Oryctolagus cuniculus: one gene and its partner. The protein of the gene in region 1 interacts with the protein of each later gene in a biochemical or structural test. Links are inferred from orthologs where the notes say so. Each region holds a gene or a part of one and is shown in the gene's direction. Other genes may lie near its edges.

Region 1 (4,283 bases):
TAGTTTAAAAGCGCAAATGGTTGCTGATATAAATTGGCTTGCACTGATTTATGATTCTGGAGAGAGGGCAAAGATCTTCTCTGTGCTGTGAACCCTTTTGTGGATGGCCACACTGGGGAAGTGGGAGCTGTGTCACTTTCTAGCTATTCACTCCTTGCCCCAAAGTTCAAGGCTGGGCTCCAAACTGGCAGAGGAACCGTGTTGTGAAGTTGGCTCACGCTTGAACGACATTTGCCTGATTTTTGTCATCTTTGCCCACACATAGCTACTCCTCTCCCGATGACCTTTTTCGTTGTACTGTGCCCCAGTCTCCGTTCCTTACTAAAGCAGATATGGATAACTAACACGGAAAGGGAATTCCTTTTCACCGTCCCCAACTGCCATGTTCCTGACAAGCCGGAAGTGTGGCTTCTGTGAAATGTGTGGTGTATCATGCTCTGAGTATTCAAGATTGCCTGAATGGTGAAAGCGCTGAGTTTCTATTCAGTTTCCTCTATGGACTGGGGGTGTGGGGTTGATTGTAATATCCTAAAACACCTGATGCGCTTCTCTGGTCTGGAGAGTAGACTTGAATGGCCCCCAAGAGACAACGGTGGGTGGGTGTAGGATGTGGTGGGAGGGGGCTGGGGGTGGTCTTTAAAGCAAGCAGATGGCAGAGATTTTGTTCTAAGAAAATAATTCTCAAAATATGAAGTGAACCTATGGATATAGCAACTGAAATATAACTGCTCTCATTAATCCTTTGTCAGGCAAACTGGTGGTATTTTAATTTCTACACATGCTGCCTGTCTATAGTTCTCGCTCTTCATTTACTCTCGACAGATCTCAGAATAAAAGAAAAAACATTAAAAGAAATACTTTCCTGTTGATCATTGAAGATCACGAGAAATGAAACTTTACCATAGTTTACATTGAGAAACAGTTACAGTTAAAATCTAAAATACGGAATCACTTAGAAAGGTTTTATTTGTATAGTAAGGTTGCCTGGGTTCCCAGCGCTTTTCTACAAGTAAGTTAAAACTAGAGTCATTGAAAATAAATTGATGAGTGAGTGGCAGCGCGCAGCATTCGCTGGAGATGGCTTTGTGCGTCTCTGGGATGCTCTCCCGGGCCTGTGCACTTGACTCCAGGGGCTTTGCATCATTATTTAAACCTGTGAGCAGACTGCCCTGATGCGCGACACCACGCTCGTCATTTCGTCACAGAAAAGAAACGATTTCCCCTGATCTTTGCACATTTCTCAGGGAAACACCTTGGAGGAAGGAAAGAAACTGTTTTCTTGCCACCCGCGCGTGGGTGGGGCCCCACGAAGCCCCCCGCGAGGGCTGGCCCTGGTGTGGGCAGCTGGGTCAGGCCCCCTTCTTAAGAAAACAGTCCTGCTCTGGGGCCTCAGCGCCCTTTGTTGTCCGCCCCGCGAGGTGATCCGCTGAGGTCTCGGCGGTGACAGAACCAGTTTGTAACAGGCTTGTCTTTCAGGCTCCTGTCTCTCGGGCTTGCTGGCGGCTCTGACAAGAGTGGCAGCCGCGCGAGGCGCGCAGAGAGCTCGGAGGCCCAGAAGCCGGAGGCGGGAGGCTCCCGGGCGGGTCCCACTGACTGCTCTCCTACTGCAATGGGTTGGCTGGAGGAACTCCGCGGGCAGCTTCCCATTTCCTCCGTCATTCTTCTGTCTGTGCACGCGAGGGGTAAGGAGATCAAGGCGCCCCACACAGCAGTGCTGCAGGGGCTGACTTCAGGTCTGCTTTCCTGGCTCGGTCACACATAGGTTCAGTGGCTCAGAGTGTCCCGATCCCCATTCTCCAACTGCTCTGTCACTTGTACTGCGTGCTCTGTCAGGGCAAGGCTTTTGGGGTGCTCTGTCTGTATCCTTTTAAACGGATTTAAAGTTTCTCTTTTCTCTAGCCACTTGGAATTACACTCAGTCCACTTTGGAAGTTGCAGAGTGGAACTGTCAACATGCTGTGATACTTGCTATGTGAAGTACTGAAATAATTCTAACAGGCAATACCTTGATGAATTTGAGTACTGTTAGATGTGTGTAGGTTAGTTAATTAACTTTGAAGTGAACTATAATTTTTATATGCATGCATTGAGTTAGTCTGTCATTTTATAGTGGCAGTGATTGTAGCTTGTGAATCTGTCAGATGCTTGTCCACATTTAAGAGTCTGGCTTTTTTTGATAGTTCTGTGCAGATTATGGTATCAAGCTAAAATGTAACAGTTTAATATATTATCTGAAAATTTTAAGTAAATGAATAATTTCTAAGAGTAAGTGTACTATTTTCAAATTAAAAGAAAGGTAACAATGAATATGAAATAATTAGTGGTGGTAGTGATTGCAATGAGGGAGTTAAAAAGTTGACAATAAGGAAATAATGGCTTTATACACCAAAGCCTGATGATAAAAGGAGCATGCACAAGATTGAAATGCATTTACAGTTCAACTTTCTGTGTGTGTGGATGAGTTCTGCAGAACTAATTTGGCTGTGCTACTTAACAGATAAGTGTGTGTTATCAGTTGTTCTGTACTTGGGGTTGGCACTTACAGGATTAAGGTTTTCAGAATCTCTAAGTATTCCATGATGTAACTAAAATACAACATTTTATGGCATGGCTCTGTAGAAAAATGCTTTTAATTTCTGGTATAGATAGTGGAACTGAAGGGAGTTTTGTGCATTAATATGAAGGAATGACAGGTAGTTCATCTACCTGGCTTGCTAGTTTTTCTCCTTTTCTCCAAAAGTTAGAATCTGGTACCTTCTAGAAAAGAATAGAAAACCTCGATGAAACTGCTTCTGAACGCTGTTGCAGGAAGTGAAAATCAGCATGATAGATGTGAGATAAAATTCTCATTCCTCTGTTTCAGCTGCTACTATTGCTTCATTGCCTGAAGATAATTTTGTATCCTCTTTTAACATTTTCCTTGAAACACATGAATATCTGATTTTACTGTGAGTTATGCCAATAACAAACAGGCCATATGCTCTGGACTGAATCATGAAATCTTAGACATAGAAGGTACTTTGAAACAATGTTGTATAAAATAATGTCTAGTTGTTTTTCAAGGAGGAGGTTGAAGCCCAGAGACCTGCCTTGCTTTTCTGGGCCATATAGCTTTTCATTCTTAAACTCCCTGTCTAAGCCTCTTTGATGCATGCACTCGTGCATGTGTGTTTCTGTTTATCTTATAGCACAGTGGGTTAGGAATGTGAATTCTGGACCCAGAATGCCTGGATTTGAATCCTAGCTCTGCCACTTAGCAGAGGTGTACTCTCACATGAGCTTATCGTGTTTATATATCAGTTTTTTCAACTGTAAAATGCGGATAATAACTGTATTTACCATAACGTTGCTTGATAACTAAATGAGGAAACATTTAGCATATGGAATAGAATCTGGCACATAACAGACCTGGGAGTTTACTATTCTTAGTGTGATTTTTACTTTTTTTTTTTTTCCCCCACAGGCAGAGTGGACAGTGAGAGAGAGAGACAGAGAGAAAGGTTTTCCTTTGCCGTTGATTCACCCTCCAATGGCCACCGCAGCGCGGCCGGCGCACCGCGCTGATCCGAAGGCAGGAGCCAGGTGCTTCTCCTGGTCTCCCATGGGGTGCAGGGCCCAAGCACTTGGGCCATCCTCCACTGCACTCCTGGGCCACAGCAGAGAGCTGGCCTGGAAGAGGGGCAACCGGGACAGAATCCGGCGCCCCGACCGGGACTAGAACCCGGTGTGCCGGCGCCGCAGGCGGAGGATTAGCCTAGTGAGCTGCAGCGCCGGCCATAGTGTGATTTTTAATAATCAGTATTTGCAAGGCTAGCAAACAAGGAAGCTGGAATTGTACACTGAGCCAAGGTTCTGCAGACTGGTAGCTCCTCTGAGTGTGATTCACACGCTGAGTCCCCGTTGATGTTCCCAGCTTTGTCATCAGTCAAGCTTTTTTATTTTGTAAGAAATTTCTCTTAAGTTTTTACAAAATAAGCTAAATGAACTTAATGTTCTTTGTAATTTTTTCCCTGATGAGGACAGAGTGTGCTATACACAGCCACTTACAGGCGTCACCAAATTAAACACTTTGGAGTACCAAAGTTAAATATGCATTGATAATGCGTAAAACCTTTTCAATCATTAATTCTGCATTTGCTTCAGTGAGAATGAGGATCACACACTAAAAGGTAAATAGGAAACACAGATCAATGAAGTGGTCATGACTCTTAAGTGAGTGACAAGGCCAAGATTAATGTGCTGAGACCCTAAGTCCTTATTGAAGTAAATGCATTGCAAAATGA
Region 2 (4,177 bases), on another chromosome or scaffold:
GTGACATCTCCGGCCCTAGGGCAGGGGGGTGGAAGCGCCAGCGCCCCCCTCGGCGGCCGCGCGCCCCCGCCCTTGGCCCCACCCCGCTGCGGCTGCCCCCGGCGCGCCGTCCACACCCCTGAGCGCCGCTCCCGCCCGCTCGGGGATCCCCGGCGAGCAGTGCCGCCGAGGGGGAGGTGTTCGGCCGGGGCCGGGAGGGAGCCAGCAGGCGGCGTCCCCTTTAAAAGCCGCGAGCGCCGCGCCACGGCGCCGCCGCCGCCGCCGTCGCCGCCGGAGTCCTCGCCCCGCCGCGCTGCGCCCGGCTCGCGCTGCGCCCGCCGCTCCGGTTCCCACACCCCGCCGGGGATTGGCAGCCGCCGCCGGACATCAGCCGCCGCCGGCGACCCGAGCGCCCTCGAGGCGAGCGCCGCGCGGATTACTGGGCGCTGCGAGGCACCCGCGCACCGCAGACCCCTCGCGGGTTGGAGCACCCGGCCGTTGCGCGCCACAGCTCGGTGGCCTCGGCTGCCCGGGCCGCGCCGGAGCCGCGGACGGGCGCGCGGAGCGCCGGAGAGTGCGGAGCCAAGCCCGAGCGCCGCGATGCCGAGCACCTCCTGCCGGGGATCGGGGGCTCGAGACGTGCCAGCCGAGGTGTGATCGGACCCCAAGCCGGCCACAAAGGGCACTTGGCCCGAGGGCTAGGACAGCAGCGAGGGCAGAGCGCGGCCACCCGCTTCGGCGGCCCGGGACTCGGCTGGGCTCGCGGAGAATGCGCCCGAGGACGACGGGGCGCCGGAGCCGCGGCTGTTTCCACTGGCCAGCGCTGATGGGGGTGCGCTGGCGGCAGGCAGAGTGATGCGGGGGGGCAGCTCGCCGGGCATCGAGATCGCCGCTGTGCCCTTCCCCGGACCCGGCGTCGCCCAGGATGGCTGCCCCGAGCCATGGGCCGCGGCGGAGCTAGCGCTGAGCGCCCGACCCTCGCCCCCCGGAGTCCCGCAGGCGGCCCCGCGCGCGGCCACGCGTCCCGCGGGCGCTGGTGCCTGAGGACGACGACAGCAGCAGCCTTTCCTCTCTGCCTTCCCTTCCCTTCCCCGGCCCGCACTCCTCCCCCTGCTCGCTGTTGTTGTGTGTCAGCACTTGGCTGGAGACTTCTTGAACTTGCAGCCTTAACTTGCGCTGCTCCCCGCTTCGCGCCGGTGCCCGCGCCCCGGCGGAGCCGCCTCGCTGCCTCCGAGCCCCGCCGCGCTGCAGCCCTCTGCCGGGCCGAGCCCGGGACGCCGCGCCCTGCGCGAGGAGAGGGACTCGGCGGCCGGCGCCGGGAGGAGAAGCCGGAGGCCACGGGAAGGGAGCGGACGCCCGGTCCCCGCGCCAGGTCCCTGGGCCAGAGCTTTTTCCATGTGGAGGCTCTTTCAATGGACGTGTCCCCGCGGGCTTCTTAGACGGACTGCGGTCTCCTAAAGGTACGGGACGCGCGGGCCCCGGGGTGCGGGGCGGGCGCTGGGCTCGCGCGGCGGCGGCGGCGGCGGCGGACCCCCCTCCGGGGCGCGGCCGGGCAGGACGTAAACAGACCCCTCTCCGGGGCCACGTGCAGCCCAGCCCGGCGGGGGCGCCCCCTTTCCCCGCGCCCGCACGCTTCCGCCCCTCCTCCGCTCTTCCTCGATATATTATTAAGGCTGTTAACACTTAGATGATTTTTTTAAAAAATTAAAAAGTCAAAGAGCTGCCTTGGAGAGGATGGCCCCTGGGTTTCACCCGTTAGCTGCCAACCTGTACGCCGTGGCACGGCGCTGTCTTCATCAAGATTCTGGGGGAGACCCGCGCTCTCCATCAGAGCCCCGTCCCCCGTAGGAAAGCGCTGGGCGTTAGGGGTTCTCTCCGCCGGTTGCTAGAAGCGCTAGAGGGCCAGGGTCCCGCTCGCGCCGTGGGTTTCCCCGCTGGCACGTGCGCGCGTGGAGATCGGCCCTTTATGTAACGCCGGGAAGGTACCTGCGTACGCGACCGCACCGGGGGCTCGCGGGCGGGCGTGGAGCGGGGCGTCCCGACACCCAGCGGGCAGCCACCGCCAAGCGGCTTCAGAAGTCGTGGCCCTGAGTTTGCAGGGTCTGGAAGTGGTGAACTGTGGCTCAGGAAGTTCCGTGCCCCGGTTCTCAGGAAGTCACATGCGCGCGCGTTTATAGGCAAGGGAGCGCTCTGAGTTTGGCTAGGCGCGGCAGGGTGTCAGATCAAGCGGTGATCCCCCAGACTCCCTGCATGGCTGCCAGCTCTGGTGTGTGTGTGTGTGTGTGTGTGTGTGTGTGTGTGTGTGTGTGTGTATGGGAGGGGGGAGTGACAACCACTTAAGTTCAGTGGGGAGGGAGCGAGGGATAAGGCCAACCCCCAAATCAAGTATCAGACGGGCCCAGGCTGGGGTGGGAGAGAGAAAAGTGCTCTGGGTCAGGAACTTGGGGCCCTCCATTCCCCCACCCCACCCCAAACGTTAGAGCTGTGGCCGCTCTGACATAGCCAGCAAGTGCTGCAAGGCAGGAGGGCGCCCTGGAGGAGGAGGCGAGCGAGCGCAGCGGGAGCCCAGGCCGCGGGGGCGGGAAGGGAGAGGACTGGGCGGGGAACTCGGGTGACTCACGTCGGCCCTGTCCGCAGGTCGACCATGGTGGCCGGGACCCGCTGTCTTCTAGCGTTGCTGCTTCCCCAGGTCCTCCTGGGCGGCGCGGCCGGCCTCATCCCCGAGCTGGGCCGCAGGAAGTTCGCGGCGTCATCGGGCCGCCCCTCGCCCCAGCCCTCGGACGACATCCTGAGCGAGTTCGAGTTGCGGTTGCTCAGCATGTTCGGTCTGAAGCAGAGACCCACCCCTAGCAGGGACGCCGTGGTGCCCCCCTACATGCTGGACTTGTACCGCCGGCACTCCGGCCAGCCTGGCGCGCCCGCCCCGGACCACCGGCTGGAGAGGGCAGCCAGCCGCGCCAACACGGTGCGCAGCTTCCACCACGAAGGTAAGGCGAGGCGCGCGCCGCAGGGGCAGAGACGCGGGCGGGTTGCTACCCGCAACGCCGAGCACCAAGGCCGGCTGCGGGCATCCCTGGAGAGGCAGTTCAGCCAGAGCTCTGCGGATGCTGTCCCTCTTGCTTCCGTACCGACCTTTCTGAATCTGATTTTCAGGCACTGCTCGTGTGGCGGGCCAGCCAGGGATTCCCCCTTGGTCGGTCCGTACCCGTTTCCTGGCACGCAGCCAGGAGGGCGACTCCTCCTCCAGGAACCAGAGCGGAATCAAGGGATGGGGAAGACGAGGCTAAAAGGCATGCCCCTGGTCAGCTAAGCGTGCAGGAATTCCGCAGTGGGAGAAGGAGGAGGTTTGGGATTTCTTGAAGTCTGTTTGGAAGCCCTTGCTCCATAAATCTGTGTCTCCAGCTTAAGCCAGGGTTTCAAGCTAGACTGAGGCAAGGGCGGAATTCTCAGATAGTCTTGAAAAATCAAAGCCCAGGGCCCCCAAGTCTTCCTAATTTACAGTGGATCTGGGCCTGCGTTGGAAGATTTCGAATCCCTATCTAATCCCCGTGGGAGATCAATTCCACAATCAATCTTATTGTTTCCACAATGACTTTCTTGTCTCGTGCTTAAATCTGAGATAGGCTCAGAGTAGAGACAAAGCAAGCCTTCAGATAAAACCTTTTGCAGCAGCTGCCTGTCTTCCTTCACATGCATTGAAATGTGATTTTTTTTTTCTTTTATGATCCTGGATGTGGTTTTCCTAAGGTAGGATATTTCTGCTGGTTTCATCAGGAAGGCATTTAGTGGATTTGAAATGTCTTAGGGCAGCTATGGAGCTCTGTTGCACCTAACTTCTTAGCACCGTTAGTCAACTACATGCTACATTTCCATTCTTTTGTTCTTTTAAATGTGCCTTTGGCTTAATAGCTCTAAATACAGAATGCATTCCTGCGAATTCTAGAAAAGAGTGGAGTTACAGATCACAGAACAGCCACTTGCACTGACTGATGTTCCCTTTTCCTTGACGAAAACAATTTTCTCTCAGTGGGACGTTTTCAAGAACGATGGGTGATAATGAGAAGAAGTCCCAAAGGCAGGTCCCATCACACAAGCTACTTCTCATCCCAGCTGTCACAGTGAAGGGAGCTGGGAGCTGGTAGCACGTGTTCCAGCACATTTTGAAGTAAAGTGTTTTCTGAAGATCTGAGGATCAACA

The links.
Region 2: the proteins of BMPR1B (region 1) and BMP2 form a complex in vitro, tested with the Homo sapiens proteins (3 studies listed by BioGRID and IntAct, with this or other methods). The link is inferred for Oryctolagus cuniculus from reciprocal best matches to the Homo sapiens genes BMPR1B and BMP2.

Annotation. Positions count from the first base shown.
Region 1 is NC_091439.1:70,357,191-70,361,473, reverse strand, and holds the start of BMPR1B (bone morphogenetic protein receptor type-1B), read left to right. Parts: upstream 1-1,483; 5' UTR 1,484-1,609; coding exon 1,610-1,682; intron 1,683-4,283. UniProt on the Homo sapiens protein: On ligand binding, forms a receptor complex consisting of two type II and two type I transmembrane serine/threonine kinases.
Region 2 is NC_091442.1:31,668,121-31,672,297, forward strand, and holds the start of BMP2 (bone morphogenetic protein 2 precursor), read left to right. Parts: upstream 1-1,377; 5' UTR 1,378-1,439; intron 1,440-2,616; 5' UTR 2,617-2,623; coding exon 2,624-2,966; intron 2,967-4,177. UniProt on the Homo sapiens protein: Growth factor of the TGF-beta superfamily that plays essential roles in many developmental processes, including cardiogenesis, neurogenesis, and osteogenesis. Induces cartilage and bone formation.